Linked DNA regions of Danio rerio. The protein of the gene in region 4 purifies or fractionates together with the protein of the main gene of each other region. This does not show direct contact. Links are inferred from orthologs where the notes say so. Each region holds a gene or a part of one and is shown on either strand. Other genes may lie near its edges.

Evidence for each region.
Region 1: the proteins of stk3 (region 4) and map1b purify together in Homo sapiens (affinity purification with mass spectrometry; 4 studies listed by BioGRID and IntAct, with this or other methods). This does not show direct contact. The link is inferred for Danio rerio from reciprocal best matches to the Homo sapiens genes STK3 and MAP1B.
Region 2: the proteins of stk3 (region 4) and slmapa purify together in Homo sapiens (affinity purification with western blotting; 3 studies listed by BioGRID and IntAct, with this or other methods). This does not show direct contact. The link is inferred for Danio rerio from reciprocal best matches to the Homo sapiens genes STK3 and SLMAP.
Region 3: the proteins of stk3 (region 4) and rassf6 purify together in Homo sapiens (affinity purification with mass spectrometry; 4 studies listed by BioGRID and IntAct, counting the BioPlex papers as one, with this or other methods). This does not show direct contact. The link is inferred for Danio rerio from reciprocal best matches to the Homo sapiens genes STK3 and RASSF6.
Region 5: the proteins of stk3 (region 4) and map1sb purify together in Homo sapiens (affinity purification with mass spectrometry; 3 studies listed by BioGRID and IntAct, with this or other methods). This does not show direct contact. The link is inferred for Danio rerio from reciprocal best matches to the Homo sapiens genes STK3 and MAP1S.

The regions. Positions count from the first base shown.
Region 1 is NC_133180.1:35,902,926-35,906,442, forward strand, and holds part of map1b (microtubule-associated protein 1B), read right to left. Parts: intron 3,296-3,517; coding exon 3,155-3,295; intron 2,740-3,154; coding exon 1-2,739. UniProt on the Homo sapiens protein: Facilitates tyrosination of alpha-tubulin in neuronal microtubules. Phosphorylated MAP1B is required for proper microtubule dynamics and plays a role in the cytoskeletal changes that accompany neuronal differentiation and neurite extension.
Region 2 is NC_133186.1:44,735,259-44,739,462, reverse strand, and holds the start of slmapa (sarcolemma associated protein a), read left to right. Parts: upstream 1-1,395; 5' UTR 1,396-2,586; coding exon 2,587-2,784; intron 2,785-4,204. UniProt on the Homo sapiens protein: Associates with the striatin-interacting phosphatase and kinase (STRIPAK) core complex, forming the extended (SIKE1:SLMAP)STRIPAK complex.
Region 3 is NC_133185.1:15,418,875-15,422,391, forward strand, and holds part of rassf6 (ras association domain-containing protein 6), read left to right. Parts: intron 1-1,532; coding exon 1,533-1,618; intron 1,619-2,969; coding exon 2,970-3,163; intron 3,164-3,517.
Region 4 is NC_133194.1:35,272,669-35,276,874, forward strand, and holds the start of stk3 (serine/threonine-protein kinase 3), read left to right. Parts: upstream 1-1,389; 5' UTR 1,390-1,505; coding exon 1,506-1,528; intron 1,529-1,814; coding exon 1,815-1,895; intron 1,896-1,987; coding exon 1,988-2,116; intron 2,117-2,215; coding exon 2,216-2,330; intron 2,331-2,456; coding exon 2,457-2,621; intron 2,622-4,206. UniProt on the Homo sapiens protein: Stress-activated, pro-apoptotic kinase which, following caspase-cleavage, enters the nucleus and induces chromatin condensation followed by internucleosomal DNA fragmentation.
Region 5 is NC_133177.1:39,904,902-39,908,418, reverse strand, and holds part of map1sb (microtubule-associated protein 1S), read left to right. Parts: intron 1-41; coding exon 42-143; intron 144-2,974; coding exon 2,975-3,057; intron 3,058-3,197; coding exon 3,198-3,338; intron 3,339-3,517. UniProt on the Homo sapiens protein: Microtubule-associated protein that mediates aggregation of mitochondria resulting in cell death and genomic destruction (MAGD). Plays a role in anchoring the microtubule organizing center to the centrosomes. Binds to DNA. Plays a role in apoptosis.

The DNA.
Region 1 (3,517 bases), on a different chromosome or scaffold from region 4:
AGATGGTGGTGAAATGGTGGAAGCTGACACATGATAATCATGGCCCTCAGTGGCATCACTCTTGGAGTGGTCTAATTCAGGAACATCTTGAAGAGGTGAAAGTTTCTTTCGTTCATGTTCTGTAGTTATACCGTACCTGACAAAATCTTGGGAAGGAGAATCGCTTTCATCATTAGTTGTCTCATCACTCATTACATCTCTTGGAGTTGACATTTCATCCATAGGCGTTGGGACACTTGAGATCTCAATCGTAGACTGAGTGTGTCCAGATGTTGTGTATTCTTCTGGAGGCTCATCTCGGTTTTCATCATCAGAGGCAGCCTCACTTTCTGAACCTGCAGGTAGGGTTTCATCATGAACTGAATCAGCAGGAGACAAAGGTGCAGTGAGCTTTGGTGGTGTGGTTACATCAAAACATTGCAACTTTGTTTCTTTGTCAAGATATTCTGGTTCATCGGTACCATAATTTGCCCCTTCCTTGGTTTCAAGCTCTGCCTGTTCATCTTTTAATGTAGATATTGCTCTGTCCTGCTCATCCACTTCCTCTGTCTCTCCCTTTTCTTCATAGTCCCCTAACTCAGAGGACTCTTCCAACCCTGTCCCTTCATCTTCAAACTTTTCACTGGTACCGTTGCTTTTCTGATTGGGTTCTAGTTCCCCTGGAGTACCTCCACATTCCTCCTCAGCTTCAGTGGTTGCTATTCCTTCATCCAGGGACTCTGCTGCTTCTGGAGACTCTTTGCAATGAGTTATTTCTTCATGTCTAATCACTTCTTCTTGATTAGAATCGTCTATTTTGGTCTGAGAAAGGACCTCATCATCTTCAGCCATCTCTTCTGCTTTCAAAGCCTCAAAATCTTTAGTGAGGTCCTCTGGAGAAGACATAAGTGATCTCTCTGCCTCAAGTACATCTGTTGCACTGTCTTCCACGGTGGGCTCTTCAACCGTGGCTCCTGAGACGGAAGGTGCTGCCACTGATTCTCCTGCATCTTTTTTGGTGGGCTTGGACTTGGCCTTGTCTTTAGATCTGGCAGGGCTACCAGGGCTCTTCCCACGTGCTGCAACCTTTGGTTTAGGTGCAGGTTTTTTCACATCAGGTGTGCTAGGGGCATTCTTTTTCAAGCTACCAGTTTTCCTTAAATCTTTCATTGGCTCTTTTGAATCTTTTAGGGATTCTTTCTTTTCATCCTTTCTGCTCTCCTTTAATAGGGAGTCTTTCCTGACGTCTCGTCTTTTAATTTCTTTTTTCACTTCTTCTTTCTTTACCTTGTCTTCTTTTTTAACCTTGTCTTCTTTCTTGGGTACGTTTTTTTCAGTTTTAACAGTCTCAGTCTTTTCCACAGATTTTTTGGATTCCTTCTTTATAGTTTTTGGTTTAATTTCAACTTTCTTTTTCTCTGGAGTGTCAGTTTTGTGTGTTTGCTCAACCTTGCTTTTAATGTCCTTTTCCCCTGCTTTCACTTTTTTCACAAGTGTTTTTTCCTTTTTCTCTATTTTTTGTGTTGGCTCCTGTTTTTCTGCTGGTTCAGTTTTACTTACAGTTTTTAGTTTTTCAGTGGTTTCTTCCCTGGATTCTTTGTGGAGATTTTTGGTAGGGGATGGTTTTGATGTGGACTTGAGACTCTCTTTACTGTCTGTCTTATGTTTCATCTTTGCTTGTTTCAGTGTCGGGGCTAAGTTTAAATTGAGCTCATTTTGTGTGATCACAGGATATTTGAGGAAGTCTAAGTGTTTAAGTTTTTCTAGGCCTTCTAGAATATGATTCTGAGTAGAATTGCCTGGAAAAAGGACGCGGACAATCTTTTCTGATGGGTTAGCAGGATGCCACACAATCAGCGATGAGATAGAGGACAAATATGACACGGGGAGTTCTGATTCTTTTCCATTTGGTAACAAGATGGTCGCTTTGTCTTTATCACTACCAGACCATTCTTTCAGAAAAAACTGCAACTCCTTACTGTTCTTAGCTGGGTTAAGAACATACATTTCAAGCTTTCCGACCCCCATTTTCTGGAATAGTATAATTGGTTCTACTGTATTACCTATACTCCTATGCAGAGGTTCAGGTTTTAGAGACAACTTGTTTAAGTACTGCAGTGTGAAGGCTGCCTCCTCTGCATTTCTTCTAATTCTGTAGTTGGGTTCAAGATTTTCCAGGTTCTGAGGCATGTTGGCAAACATAACACCAATATCAGGTGAGATCATATTCTTTGTCCAGTCACTGTTAGCTGTAGACCCCTGTGACTGCTCCTCTTCTAGTTCAGCTATTTTGCGCTGTAGCATACTATTGATACCTGGAAGGTTATCATCTCCAATGTGTGTAAGGAGAACAGAATCTACTCTGTCCAAATGTCGTACCAGCTTCCAAAAGCATGACTTTCTATCAGATCCACCATTAATTAGCATGTTGAAACCATTAACTGCAAACAATGCAGAGTCACCCCGTCCACCAGGGAATATATAGCAGCATGGTTTTGATAATTTTAGAAACCCCCCTGAGGTTGGGGGCTCCAGCATGTCAAATGGGGATGAGATTTCTACAGATTCTGACAGATATTCTGTAAATTCAGAAAGACCTTCCATTTCTGGAAGGATGGTTGGGGAGTTTAGCTTCATGTAGATGAAATCCTGTAAGTTGTGTTTGTCCAGGTTTGAATTTTTCCAGTCACCATGCTCAGGACAAAAAAGGGTTAAACTGGCTTTGTTGGCTGGATGTACGGTGCTAAGAAGCTCTCCAATCTGTAAGTCAAATTAGAAATATGTTACTTACTTAATTTGACCCTGGACCACAAAACTAGCCAGTAATGTAATTTTTAAAATTGGGATTTATACATCAACTGAAAGGTGAATAAATAAGCTTTCCATTAATTTATGGTTTAATAGGATTTAACAATATTTGGGCAAAATACAACTGTTTGAAATATGTTTAAAATCTAAATACAAAGAAAATAGCTTTGTTGTCTACACAAAGTGCATTGCAATACACATTACACATAACCTGCCAAAAATTGCCACAACAACGTTTACACAAAAATTGCCAATATTATAGCCAAAAATATAGCCATGCAACATAAAATCAGCTTTGTTGTCCAGGGTCACATTGTCAGGTTACAGTGTAAAGTGCATGTTTTCACCAAGAAAAACAGTCACTTACCTCTTGATCTGTAAAAATGTCAATGAAACTGGAGAGAGAAAAGGAGCCTGATTGAAGAATCAGCTCGCCTGTATTTTCAAAGCACTGTCCTGCCAGGACAAGCAGCTTATGATGGGCTGTGTCTGAGACCATTAGCCGTACCTAGGTGTAAACAGAGTTTATACTATTTATGTACTACAAGAAACATTTGCAGATTATTTTTAGGTATAACATGTAAGTGCAATATCTACAAAAAATGAATGATGTTACCAAAATGTTACCAATTTGATGTTACCAAAAAGATGAAATCATACTCCTAAAAACCTGGCCAACAAAAGTATGCCTGTTTCTATGAGCTCAGCTAAACTTTTTGCAGTTATCTGT
Region 2 (4,204 bases), on a different chromosome or scaffold from region 4:
TCTTTGTTGTGTTTATTTGTTAGAGCCCTTTTTATAGAGCCAGATTGGTCTCAAAAATATTACATTTAAATAATATAATTCATATATTCACAACTCAAGTTACAGTTACAAAATCCAATTCATAAATTCTAAACGAGATTCATTAATAAACAAATCCAACTTGTAAATTGAAAACATGATTCATAAATACACAAATCCAATCCATAAATTAAAATCGCGATTTATAAATACACAAATCCAATTCGTCAATTCAAAACGCGACTCATAAATACACAAATCTAACTTGTCAATTCAAAACACGATTTATAAATACACAAATTCAATTCGTAAATTCTAAACGTAATTCATAAATACACAAATACATTCCGTCAACTCAAAATGCGATTCATAAATACACAAATACAATTCGTAAATTTAAAACGTGATTCATAAATACAAAAATCCAATTGGTAAATTTAAAATGTGATTCATAAATACACAAATTTAATTCGTAAGTTCAAAACGCGATTCATAAATACACAAATTTAATTTGTGAGTTCAAAACGCGATTCATAAATACACAAATCCAATTCGTCAATTCAAAACGCGATTCATACATACACAAATTCAATTCGTAAATTCAAAACGTGATTCATAAATACATAAATCCAATTCGTCAACTCAAAACGTGATTCATAAATACACAAATACAATTGGTAAATTCAAAACGTGGTTCATAAATACACAAATCTAATTAGTCAATTTAAAATATGATTCATAAATACACAAATCCAATTCGTAAATTCAAAACACGATTCATAAATACACAAATCCAATTCATAAACTGAAAATGCGATTCATTTACACAAATCAGATTCGTAAATACAAATCGCGATTCAAAAATACTCAATCCAATTCATAAGTTTACATGCAATTTATAATTACTCAAATTCAATTTGTAAATTTAAAATGTGATTCATAAATACACAAATCCAATTCGTAAATTGAAAACACTATACAAAAATACACAAATCTAATTAATTTGGTGAAAGTATTTATGATTTTTGCTTGTGAATTTACAAATTGTTGGTTGTATTTACAAGTTGTGTTTTGAATTTACAAACTGGATGTTGTAAATGTGAATTGTGCTGTGCATGGAGGAGTTTTATTATGTACATGTATTATTTTTGAGACTGATCTGACTGGCTCCATACTTTTTTTGTCTGTTCAACAAATTGTTTTACCTGTTGTTGTCTTGCTTGTTGATTGTAAATGAAATGCTATTACAAAAGAAAAAAATAGCATCCGAAAAATGAACAAACAAACATTATTTTCAATCCGCATGAAAAACGTCATCCTTTTTCTCTGGAAACGCGGATCCGCCTACATTTTCGCGTCACCGCAAAGCCCCGCCCCATATCTCGGTGGTGCGCGAGCCCCGCGGCGGTTTGTGGCCGGTGTGTATGTGTGTGTATATCTCTTCAAGAGGACGACTTACTTCCAATTATCCCGTCGCACACAACGATTTCCCTCCCGATTTCAGCGTTCCGAAAAGCGGAGACCTCCATGGCTTAACACGGGACCGTGTCATGGACTTTATTCGTGTATGACTTTCTTTTCTGGGGAAATTTTTGTGTCTCTCAGCAGGCTAAGCTAGTTACCGAGCTCGCGAGCTAATACTGGATTTACGCAAATTCTCCGCGCATGAAAGTTCCACAGACCGAACAAATAGCTGGTTTTCGGGGATAAATCAGCTCGGGGTTATTTATAAAGTCTCTTCCAGCTTGGACGGCTCGATAAGGTGAAAGTAGAAGGCCAGTGTTACCTCAGCGAAGCTAACAAGCTAATATGAAGTTAGCCAGCTAACGCTCTCGTGCGCAAGAAAACACCCTCCGCGCGAGCTGTGCTCTTGTATACAATCCTGACAGCTAAATACTTGCATTTGAAGTCTGTTTAAGTAGGCATTTGAGGTATTTTTCAATATTAATTACTCTGTCTTGGGGAGTGGTGGCTTGATGGTCTGCTCTGCATACTTCAGCCAAACCCACTCACATTATTATTAATCTTCATTACGGTTTAACATTTTCACAAGTGCATTTCGTGCCTAGCAGTCATTCCCTCTAAATATAGACACGCATGTCAACTTGACAGTAATACTTCTTTTTTTTTTTTAGGAGTAAAGGTTGACCAATTCAACAGGTTATTGGTGTACTAGTTGCTGGGTTGTTTACTGGCCAGGCCTATGCTTGTAAAGGGGGACGAGGATGAATTGTGTTGGGAACGAAGTATAACAGCTCGAATTGTGGACTGTCATCTGGACACCCAGATTTGTATGGAATTGGGCAGCTGTATTGGGTTTGGTTCGGCAACATGGGGGTCTCGCAAGGGGGCAAGAAGTCATCTACATAGTGTATAAATATACAGTCTTGTTGACGTTATGTAGTCGGTTTAGCAGGGGTCTTTTTGTAGAGTTGGAATTTTTTTCGTATTACTATGTGCGTTGGTCTGCTGGTCATTCATTAGGAAGAATTGGAGCAACAGGTCAGTCTGGATCAAGAAACCCTGTCTTTCGTCTCTGGTTGGAGTAACACTCCCAAGCCATCCTCAATGCCTTCAGCGCTGGCCGTGTTCTCCTGCCGCCCGAATTCACACCCGTTTCAGGAACGCCATGTTTACCTGGATGAGCCGGTCAAGATCGGGCGCTCCGTGGCCCGGTGTCGCCCTGCCCAAAACAACGCCACCTTCGACTGCAAAGTGTTGTCGAGGAATCACGCTCTGGTATGGTTCGACCACAAGACAGGCAAGGTAAGTCTGATGTTTCACCAATAGATTGGATGTTAACTATAAACATTATTCATTAGATGTACTTATTTTTTTTAAGGTAAGTGGTTGCAAAAATTAGCATGAGCTGAATTTAAACAAATAAACGTTACTACATTTAGTTTGTTTAAATTCAGTCTATATAAATTGTTTGCAACCACTTGCCTCAAAAAAGTTAGTAAGTCCAATGAATATTTTTTTCAGTGTTTGACATATCCACCTCCATCTTTCTTGAATTATTAAGATTTTCTTTGTATCTATCTGTCAATGTTGTCACAATTGTCTGTACTAGGATTATATAGATAATATCCCCACCCAAAAGTAGATTAAGATGGAATTTATGGCTAAATATACCACTGCATTAGATCAGTGTTTCTCAACCACGTTCCTGTAGGACCACCAACACTGCATATTTTGGATGTCTCCTTTATCTGTTACATTCATTACAGGTCTTTCAGTCTCTGCTGATGATCTAAATCAGGTGTGTTTGGTTAAGGAAACATGGGGTGTTTCTCAATAGGCGTTTTTCAGCGATCCTGCGTCCTCGTGTTCTTCTGTAATGTCGTCATTAACTGCCTATGTTCAGTTCCAAAACTCAAGACGGCAAGAACGGAGGACGCGTGAAAGTTGCCAGATGTGTTCTTGATATCGTAGAGTCATCGATGCAGACTTGAGCACAAAACTTGCTTGAGAAGTCCTAGAAGTCGTTGTGGCTGTATGAAGGAGGTGGGAAGCGCAGCATTTTATTTAGATTTATTATTAAAGTTTAGAGATGTAACTTATTTACTTCAGGAGTTTCCCTAAATGAGACGGTGAATTTAAACATTACCATGTAAATCATAATAATGGCATAAGCACATAAAGGGTGTTTACTTGTTGAAATTCGTGTTAAAATTAGTTTTATTTGTATTGTGAAGCATATATTTGTACGTTTTTTTTATGCATGGTATATATTATGTATGGGGGAAAACAATAAATCGTTGTTGTAGGAATGCTGTAATGTTTAAACCATATTCCATTAAAAACATGTGAAGGTCACGTCACCATCAGGAAGACCCAGGGAAGAACACAGCATCTCATTTCTCACAGGATGCGTTCTCTGTTCTCAGCGTTCTAGGAATTAAGAGACAGTCTAGGAACATGTGCAGAGCTGGTGGTCCTCCAGTAATGTGGTTGAGAAACACTGCATTAGATCACAGGTGTCAAACTCAGTTCCTTGAGGGCCGCAGCTCTGCACAGTTTAGTGCAACCCTAATTAAACACACCTGATGAAACTAATTGAATTCTTTAGGCTTGTTTGAAACACACAGGTAAGAGTGTTGAAGCAGGTTTGGAACTAGACTGCAGGTCAACGTCCCTCCAGGAACTGAAATTGACACCCCTGTGTTATATAGTAAATATATTA
Region 3 (3,517 bases), on a different chromosome or scaffold from region 4:
AATGCATTTCTCAAAACAATTAGTACAAACTGCAAAACCTAGTTGATAACCTGCAAAAGTGTATCACTCATTCCATTAGCTCATCCCTCAAAAAAGGTATTCCTGTCAATGAAAGTGTCAGTGTCATAAAAGTCCTGACACTATTGTTTATAAACAAGTCATAGTCATATGACTTTGTCATATTTTCATTATGACAGTTTACTCTGTACAATTTTTCCAATGCAAAAAAAAGTCAGATTTTGGTGACACTTCCTGTTCAAATGCTCAAGACAGCACTTTTTTGCAGTATTATATACTACTTGCCCAGCCTAAGTACAGTAAAGCTACACTACAGTAACTACAGTACTGTAAAACTACAGTAAAGTTAGACATCACTGCATTTAGTGAGGTATCTGAGTACAAGACACTGAACAAGTATGTTTCATATTTTTACTGCATATGCTCATTTCTATTCCAATGTATTCACAACATTGTACCAAAAAATAAATGCACCCTTATTTTCAACAAACATAAACTTCCTTTGGGTAGAGCTGTGCACAACTGTAAACATATTGCAGTGCATATTGGAAATGAAACTATAACATACATAGGTCTGTAAATCATTCATGAAATTGTTCAATTTAGAAAACATTTTCATATATATATATATCAACTTATAGATCAACTTTTTAAATTTTTTTTTTATAAAATTAGATTGAAAGATTCTGACAACTAGTTTAACATTTTGGCAAAGCAGTGACGCAGTAGGTAGTGCTGTCGCCTCACAGCAAGAAGGTTGCTGGGTCGCTGGTTCGAGCCTCAGCTCAGTTGGTGTTTCTGTGTAGAGTTAGCATGTTCTCCCTGCGTTCGCGTGGGTTTCCTCCAGGTGCTCCGGTTTCCCCCACAGTCCAAAGACATGTGGTACAGGTGAATTGGGTAGGCTAAATTGTCCGTAGTGTATGAGTGTGTGTGTGTGGATGTTTCCCAGAGATGGGTTGTGGCTGGAAGGGCATCCGCTGCGTAAAAACTTGCTGGATAAGTTGGCGGTTTATTTCGCTGTGGCGACCCCGTATTAATAAAGGGACTAAACCGACAAGAAAATGAATAAGTTTAACATTTTCGTATGTAATGACTCAAGTAATGAAAGGAGGACTATTAGTTTTACATGCAATGACTTTTTAGCATTCAAGTTTAGTTAATTTTGACTAACATGACATAAGCTAATGATAATGTTATAAACAGAGAGAGTTGTGAAAGCAATTGATGCATGTCCAAAAGCTTTTGCAATTTGCTGGAAGGAATGAGAAACTGCTACTATGATGTGCACAAATGACTAATTGTTTTGAGAAATGCATTAACTGTCAGGCAAATGTAAATAGTGTTGTGAGAAATGCACAAAAGCCACTGAGAAAAACTGTAAGTGTTTGAATCCTATATTTATGTTTTTTAAAGCATGAAAGAGAATTAGTGCTGTTTTAGGCTTTGTTGAAGATTCTGTCTTATGTTTTCTAATTCAATTATGTGTTTTGTGATTCGATCAACTGTGCCATTAGGGGTATGACACGATGGGGAGAATTTGACAACCTTCACAATATTGCTGAACTGGAGGAAGCTGGATCACCTGAAAATCCTACTGAAGGTTCAGTTTCTTTAACATTATTTGATGTTACAGTAGAATTTGGACTATGGTAACACAACTGATGGATCATATATGGTATTTCAGAAAATAAATGAATAAATATTAATTTACTTGAACACTTGTTCTCTTAGTAGAACATTAAAAAGGATATTTAGGCAAAATTGTGATTCTTGGTGAATAACAAAATACATATTCATGCAAAACAAAATTAATACTGTAATAATGTTTCCCTGAGAAGTTATAAAGGAAATCGATCAGTCTGTGTAACAAAGATCACAAAGAAGAAAGCATAACATTTAATCCATAGCTTTTAGTGCATCTATAAGAGTTATGGTTGTTAGGGATGGCCCAAATGGACTTAAAAGATTTATCACAATGTTTTTTGGCATTTGTGATAAGAATATCAATGGCAATATAATTCATATATATATATCCACGAAGAGATCTTTTTATAAAATAGTGGAGAGTTATTCAACCCTGCTTCTGAATGCCCACTGTGGAGTGGAGCTCAGCAATAATCAAACACTAAAGCAGCTAATCAAGATTTTCAGGATCATATAAAATACACATATCAGGTATAAAATAGATGTGCTAAAGCAGTTTAAGGCTCTTATTCATAGTTGAAGTCCCCTGAAATACATGTCAATATTATTTATGTTTCATTTAAACTGGACACAAGAGGACGCCATAGTGTATAATCTACTCATATAGATTATTAAGGATATCAGATAGGCTTCTACTGAGCAAATAGGAGACACATGATAGCAACAGATAAATGAATCAAACGTGAACACAATAAAAAAAAAATCATTGTAGCAATATATGAATTATTTATGTTCTTTAAGCCATCCTAGGTTTTGTATAAGGATAAATTATATTTATAATGCAATCTAATTGACGTCTGCTCACAAAAAAAGACACTCGACTAATGTCATGAAGTTTATTAAGTACTTAAGTCAGTAAATCTGTTAAAAAGGAAAAAATGTATTTCACATGTGCTACTAAAATAAATCACTGCAAATACTAAGTGTATATTTAATTGTAGTTATTACTATTGTTAGTCTATTGTTTCCTGTTGTGAACAAATAATAAAATATCTCCCATCTTGAATGAGTATTAATTCAGTTTTCATCAGTTTCATCATTTCTTTAAAAGTCATGTTCAATATTCTACTGAAGCAATAAAAACATTATAGATGGCCTAAGGATGAGCAAGCTAACATATTTACATTTTTGGGTGAACTATACCTGAAAAACAACTAGTGTACTACTACATTTAATAAATGACAAGTTGTTCTGCATTAAAAAAATTACTTTCATATTTCAACAACACAATCTACACTCTCTTCTAGACTACATCGTATACGAGACCATGACTTTAAGGCCATCGCGGACCATGCAAATCAATGAAGATAGTTCATATCTGATTCGCACCATGAGCGACGCCTCGCTGGTGAAAATGAGGGTGAAAAGTAAGAAGATGATTGAAAGTCAAAAGAACAGAAACCATCGCTTCTCCATCAATGGACACTTCTACAACTATAAGGTCTGTAGTTTAATTGCAATGATCCAAATGTCAAGCTTGGGCCTGTATGCAATCTATGAGTAATACAGTGTTGTTATAAGTTGTTATAAGTTATCATAACACATAAATAATACATGAATACAATATTTTTAAAAAGCAAATGTGTATGCTAAAAATTTGACTTTGAGAGGGTTAGATGCTAAATTCAGAAATGACACTTGTGGTCAATTAGTGAAATGCAGCAAGTAACTTACTGCTTGTTTTGAATGTTTCTTTATGGTGCGTTATTTATAATTTGCAAGCACAATTATGAACATGTCATCTGATGTTTGAATATGTCTGTTATGTACAGTGCAGACAATTTTGCTGACAAAA
Region 4 (4,206 bases):
AGTGGGTCAATGTAAATACAGACTATGGACTTGAAAATACAAACGACTGACTATTTTATTGAGCAAAAACTCCAAAAGCAGTTGAGGAGATCTCCTAGCTTCTCACTCTGCTCTTTTCACAGACACACACACACACACATATTGCACAAACACACACACGCACTTAACCCTGCTCCGAACGACAACGCGCGCGCACACACACGCACACACACACACACAAACACACACACACACCTCCGGACGACAGCACACGCACACACAGACACACACACTACTCCTCGTCCACGGAGCTCCGTTAACGCAGCACGCGTCGCGTTTTTAACGTGACTTTGCACGCGATAAGAGAATATAGCCAGTTAACCTGATACAGTACACGCGGTTACAAGTAACAAATCACAACTAAATACATTTGCAAGCTAGAGTCAACGAGGCAACTTTAATCGCACGTACTTACACTTGAGAAATGGAGGAAGAAAAATCCTGACGTCCATCAATAAGTCACTCTTTACTGATCCTTCCTTTAACAAACGCTGATGAAGTATTCTTTGTAGCATGTAGCTTCCAGAAGTTTCCAGTAGTTTCCAACTGCTTGGTTATAATGCTGAGGTTTTATGTTTGGGTAGAGACTCAATATATCCATCTGCAGTGTGACTTCAATCGACCGGCATGTTTGTGTGTGTGTGTGTTTGTGGGTGTGTGTTTGTGTGTGTGTCTGGGTTTCTGCGTCAGAGGGCGGGGCCTCAGGTTTGAAATCTCCCGGGTTTGCGCGTGCACGTGAATAACTTGGTTTCGTTCGTACGTCATGGCGAAACACCTAATGAATCGGTATCAAGGCGACTCGTTTGAAGCACTATGAGTCGACTCTTTTATAGATGAATCAACCGTTTTAAACACTGTACACTAACAGATTTAAGCCTTAGCTGGATACTTCACTTCACTTAGAGCTGTGTTACACAATACATGGAGGGGAATTTTCAAAAACCCATAATATGGGCTCTTTAAAAAGAATATATTTTAGAGCAGTGGTACCGTGTAACCATAATATTTTCATCCAAGGTTATCATACCGTCAGAATCTTATACAGGCCGATGTCTGCTTGTCAATAAAAAAAGAAGATAATATTAAGAGGATAAAACTGAGAGAATGTATGCAAGTATTTCTCAGATAGTTTGTTCGTATTTTTTATAGTTCTTAAAATAAACAAAACAAACAAACTCCGTTCAAAGATACACGCAACTTGCAAGCTCGTCGTCAAACGAGTGAAAATTGTAGTATCTCATACTGTAAAATATTACGTTTGTAGGACTTTTACTTTGACGAGTCGTTTTTCATGGAAAATTACACACGTCAGCTGGCTTCACATCGTTGTTAGCAGCGGCACGGAAAGACATAGCAGTGCTTCCTTAAACTCCAAACAAAACATGCGTTATTGCTTTTTCCCTTAGGGTTTGAGCAAACAACTTTTACATTTTTACGCAAATTATATTTTTATCTGAATAACAAGAATGGAGCATTCGGTGCCCAAAAAGTAAGTCACTATCTCGGCTAACCAGTTAACAGCTAAGCTAATATTTACAGGCCTCATCTGAGCAACGAAACTGACACTTCAGATCGCCGACCGAACTATAAAAGATCGTTTGGTTTATATTTAGATGTTCGTATTTATAACTACATGATCAATACTTCAACGCAGTCTGACTTCATGCAGTTTTGTTATATTGTAGATTCTAGTTTTACGTTATAACTGCTAGTGTGGGATCCAATGATGTTTTATGCATTTAATAAAGTAACGTTTCGACTGTTTTGATCAACAGTAAGCTGAAGAAACTCAGTGAAGACAGTCTTACCAAGCAGCCAGAGGAAGTATTTGATGTTCTTGAAAAGCTTGGAGAAGGGTGGGTAGCATAATATTTGTCAACATAGGTAGTGAATATGAATGCTTATGTTTTGTTTGACACTTCTACATTTCAAATGCACTTTGCTTCAGATCATATGGAAGTGTTTTTAAAGCCATTCACAAGGAATCAGGCCAAGTTGTGGCCATTAAACAGGTTCCTGTCGAATCAGACCTGCAAGAGATCATCAAGGAGATCTCCATAATGCAGCAATGTGACAGGTAAAACAACATACTTAGTTTATATATTTATTATTAATGTAAATTTGGATGTGTGTGAAGAACGTAACAACATTTTCATTCCTCATTGTGTTTTAACAGCCCATATGTGGTGAAGTACTATGGCAGCTATTTCAAAAACACAGATCTGTGGATTGTGATGGAGTACTGTGGTGCTGGATCTGTGTCTGATATTATTAGACTGCGCAACAAAACGGTGAATAAAAATACTATGAATGCACTATATAGCATCATCAGTGTAATTTAAGTTAGATTATTATATCTAAGAGATATTGATGTATCAATAGAGCTTCATAACAGAGACTTTTATTTGCTTGACTAGCTTACTGAGGATGAGATTGCCACGGTCCTCAAATCCACACTGAAAGGTCTGGAATATCTCCATTTTATGAGGAAAATCCACAGGGACATCAAAGCCGGGAATATTCTCCTCAACACTGAAGGTCATGCTAAACTAGCTGATTTCGGAGTAGCTGGACAACTTACCGTGAGTTTTTCAACCTACCTGCTAGATTGCATAGATTGATGTGGTTTTATTTGTTAAAAAATAAATAATATTATAATAAATACATTGATATAAGTAATTTAACTAGGGATGCACAATATATCGGCGGCCATATCTTTATTGCTGATAAATTTTATTTTGTTATTGGTCCGAAATCAAAATTAGGCCAATATCTTAAAGCCGACAGATTACGTAATTGTACAGACCTGCCTGCCTTGCGCATGCGTTGGTCGACCTTGTTCAGACGTGTCCAGTGCACTATAACGTAGCTTATCTCACATTGTTTATTCATCCATCCTTTCTTTGTGTGGTATTGCTGTGCGCAAATAACTCTGTAAGTAACCATATCCCTTATCAGATATGTTTGATAGAGTATCATTGTGTATTTTGGTTTAAATCGCCTCAGGCAAAGTATTAAATGTGTAAATATAATAGCAGCGATGCACACATGCTAAGCAACTCGTTGGGTTGTTTGTAATCTAATATGATTATTTGTTATTATCAACGCGTTGCTTGCCATTCGTTGTTGATGTAAGATTGTATTCGGTTTGATTTTGTTATTTAACCTATTGTTTTTATGCAACGGTCTAGTTGGATGTTAATTTTCTAAGCAATGAAAGGGAAACCATTAAGTTTTGGAATGCTTATTTATGTGAAATCATAAATTTAGGCCTATAGTAGGGTTGTCCACACTCGGTCCTAGAGGGCTGGTGTCCTTTAGGGTTTAGCTCCAACCCAAATCAAACACACCTGAACCAGCTAATCAAGCTCTTACTAGATATACTAGAAACTTCCTGGCAGGTGTGTTTTAGCAAGTTAAGCTAAACTTAGCTGGACACCGGCTCTCCAGGACCAAGTTTGGACATCCCTGGTCTATATAATCACCTTACAATTTTGAAATTATTGCTTTTTTGTTTTGAGTATAGACTATTCAGTTCATAAAGCCCTGCTCACACTAAGATTTCAGCCACAATTTTGTCATCTGAGACGATGGGAAATCCTAAAAGATTCTTGAAATTCGTGATCTTTGATCGTTGGTTTGACATGTTCAGTGACAGATGCTTAAAGCCCGTTGCGATCAGATTTTTTTTGTGACAACAGCTGCAATCTGAGAACCAATAGGACCTCAGAATTTGATGTCACAATCTATGCAACAATTCAAATGACCATGTGAAAATGTCAAAGAGTCTTTTTCATTCTGGTTTTATTATTGAGACACGCCGTGTGCAAAATTGCAGCTACAGATTGCGGGGATAGTGGGATAGTGAAAGTGTCACGGGTGGATGACGTCAAACTCCGGGGGCATTTTCTTTCATGTTTGGTGCATTTTCATTGTCGTTCAGTCTGACTTTATGACAGCTGAGATCTTACAGTGTGGCATGGGAGCCATGTTCGAGCAGTCTGACATGCTACAATCATTTAGGATTATAAAAAAACAATCGCACAGTGAAAGCCGGCCTTAAGATCAGTTCAAACTTTTACAAAGTTTAAAAAAAAAATGAAATCAGTTGTTCACTGTATAAAATATAACATTTTGAGATATTTATATTTATCGGCTAATATATCG
Region 5 (3,517 bases), on a different chromosome or scaffold from region 4:
ATGCTTACAATGTTTTCATGTATTTGCATCTCCTCACACAGGGATCCGTGCATGGGATGTAGACCTGACAGTGTGTAACTTGGATGAGCAGCTGAAGCTTTTTATTTCCCAACATTCTTATTATGAATCCAAGGATATAAGAGGTACTTTGTTTTTATTGACTGAAAAACATGAGCCTCAGAGATAGGCTACACTTTTAAAGGACATTACTGGGAATCTTTTCTAGCTCATTTTGAGCGAATGATATGTGTGTGGGATGCAATCTTATGAATTAACAAAGAAGCAACTGTGTAGTTCGGCCCCAGTACAGCCCTATATACAGTATCTTTGCTATATAATACATTATTATATAATTAATAATGAAATCCTATTTTCAATGTGTGTGAGTCAGGTAAACTCACTTAACTATTGCCAGAACTTTAAAAAAAACAAGATTATTTTAGATTTCGATTTTTTTATTTCAATTCAGAAATTTGAAAAAAGACTGGTCAAGTTGGCGGTTCATTCTGCCGTGGCAACCCCTGATTATTAAAGGGACTAAGCTGAAAAGAAAATAAATGAATTATAAATATTCATTTAGTGGTTCTGTTGCCTCCCAGCAAGAAAGATGCTGGGTAATTCCCATCTGGGCTAGTTGGCATTTCTGTTTGCATGTTCTGTTCACCTGGGTTTCCTTCAGGTGCTCCGGTTTCCCCCACAGTCCAAAAATATGCAGTATAAGTGAATTAAATAAACTTAATTGGCTGTAGTGCATCTGTGTGTGTGTGTGTGTGTGTGAGAGAGAGAGAGAGTGTGTATGGGTGTTTCCCAGTACTGGGTTGCAGCTGGAAGGGCATCCGCTGTGTACAACATATAGAATAGTTGGTGGTTCATTTTGCTGTGGCGACTTTTGAAATAGAGATTATATAGAGAATAAAGCCGAAGGAATATGAATGGATAATCATTTCGATGATCTTTTTTCTTCTGCTTTTGATAAATTTGCAACACAGACTGAGGCGACAGTCTGAACATTGACCACAACAATCTAGCACCACCAAATGTTTAAAGTTGCTTTTGCTTCTTGGAATACAACATTCTTTTTATTAGAAGCTCTTGAAATGAAAATTTTCCATTGATTACAAATGAAAAGCTAACTTTCTTTTTATTACTTGATCTAAGAATATGGTCTCCATTTTATTTCGTATACAGTTGAAGTCAGAATTATTAGCCCCCCCTAAATAATTTTTTTCCCTAATTTCTGTTTAACAGAGAGAAGATTTTTTTTTTCAACACATTTCTAACCATAATAGTTTTAATAACTCTTTTCTAATAACTGATTTTTTTTTTTTATCTTTGCCATGAAGACAGTAAATATTATTTAGCTAGATATTTTTCAAGACACTTCTATACAGCTTAAAGTGACATTTAAAGGCTTAACTAGATAAATTAGGTTAACTAGGCAGGTTAGGGTAATTAGTCAAGTTATTGTATAATGATGGTTTGTTCTGTAAACAGTCGAATAATATATACCTTAAAGGGGCTAATAATTTTGACCTTAAATTATATATATATATATATATATTTTTTTTTTTAGTTAAAAACTACTTTTATTCTAGCCAAAATAAAATAAATAAGACTTTTTCCAGAAGAAGAAATATTATTAGACATACTGTGATAATAATTCTGACTTCAACTATATATGTATTAAATAAGGCGACAACATAAAACTCTTCAAAAATACCAATTTATTATATTAAAAAAGCTAACACAAAGCACACTGTCTGATGAAGAGCCGGTGTGCTCGAAACATTACATGCTTTGTGTTAGCCTTGTTAATTTAATAAATTGGTATTTTTGGAGCTTTTATGTTGTCGCCTTGTTAAATATATTTTTGCACGTTTTGATGTTTGGCCGAGCACCCATTTAGAACGATGTGTGTGATTTCCGTGCATTTTTTAATATTTTGTTTACACAGCACTCAGCATATATAAGTACACCCCTCACAAATCTCTCTTTTAAATTAATATTTATATTAAAAAGCTATACAATATTATATGTGTGCATATATATATATATATATATATATATATATATATATATATATATATATATATATATATATATATATATATATATATATATTTATATATATTAGTCAGTACTGAAGCCAAATCTGGAGCTAATCGAACAAAATAACTTACAATAATGGTACAAAAACTAGCACAGCCAAATGTATATGTTAGAGAAAAATATTAAATACAAATTTAAAATGAGGAAAAAATAACAGAAGCAAAAAATTTAAAAAATTTGTTGAAATTTTGTAGGTTGTAATTTTTTTTGCTAATAATAATATTCATTTTCAAAATGGGGTGTGCTCAATTATGCTGAGCACTGTATATGAAATGCACTATTGTGTTCTCTTTGCTCTATCGGGAGGGCAATCATTAATTTGATATTTTTCTAGTTAAATAGGGTATATCCAAACTGAGTGCAAGTAAACTGATTGGCAGCTCCTGTTATTCAAAGAATGTTGTATTAGGTTGGCGTGTTGGTCCTAATTTGCTATTCTAGAGCACAGAGCAGAAAGGCAGGAAGGAAATGCTTTCTACCAATTGTTCAGACTTTGGCTGCTGTTGGAAAAACAGCAGTGAAACACTTTTGTTGCAGCGGTTTTGAAAATAATTTTGCTGACAAATCAGACAGATGTACGCCGAACTTATACTCAGGAAATCTCACTTTTTAAAATTTGCAATACTTGGTTCTATATTTAAGATTAGACTGGCAGCATTAAAACAATGTTATGTGACTCATCATTTAAAAGACATTTCAGCTAAGTCAAGTCTTTTCATTCTTGTCCAGTAAAGGGCCACATGTTTCCACTTTTAAGTTTAGTGGAGTTAGAATTCAAAGTATTAATTCGGATTTGCATGACATCTTACATATTCTGGTTAATTTTTTTATTGACCCATTTAGTCTGTCTCCATTTTCATTACAGGTCAGAAGACATTTCATTTCAGTTCAAATGTTCTGGACATTAAAGTTGTAGTGAATCCATCTGAAGGGGTTCTCTACTCTGAGGTGTGTGACACCTAAATTAGTCTCTTCTTCATATTTTAAAATGTATTGCATTAAAAAACACGCAATATAATAATATGCATAAAGAATTCTAATATACACATTTTTAAAAATAAAATATATATTTTGAACTATAATTACAGGTTCACAGCTTGATATCATCCATACCTCGCCACAAATTGCTGGTGCTGACAGGACAGTCTCTTGAAGACTCTGGAGATCTGGTCTTGCACACGGGGCAATTCACGCCAAATGATTTCACCCAGATCTTTTCAGATGAAGAGGTTTGTTGGACTGAAAAGTGCAAAATGTAATGAATAATGTATACATAATGTGTAAAATACAGCAACATTTTAATGGGTTGTCCTCATATTTGAAAATCTAACCTATCTTTGAATATATAATTTTTCAAATGATTCTGTTATGCAGAAATATTCTAGCCATTTTCTGTTTTAAATATAAG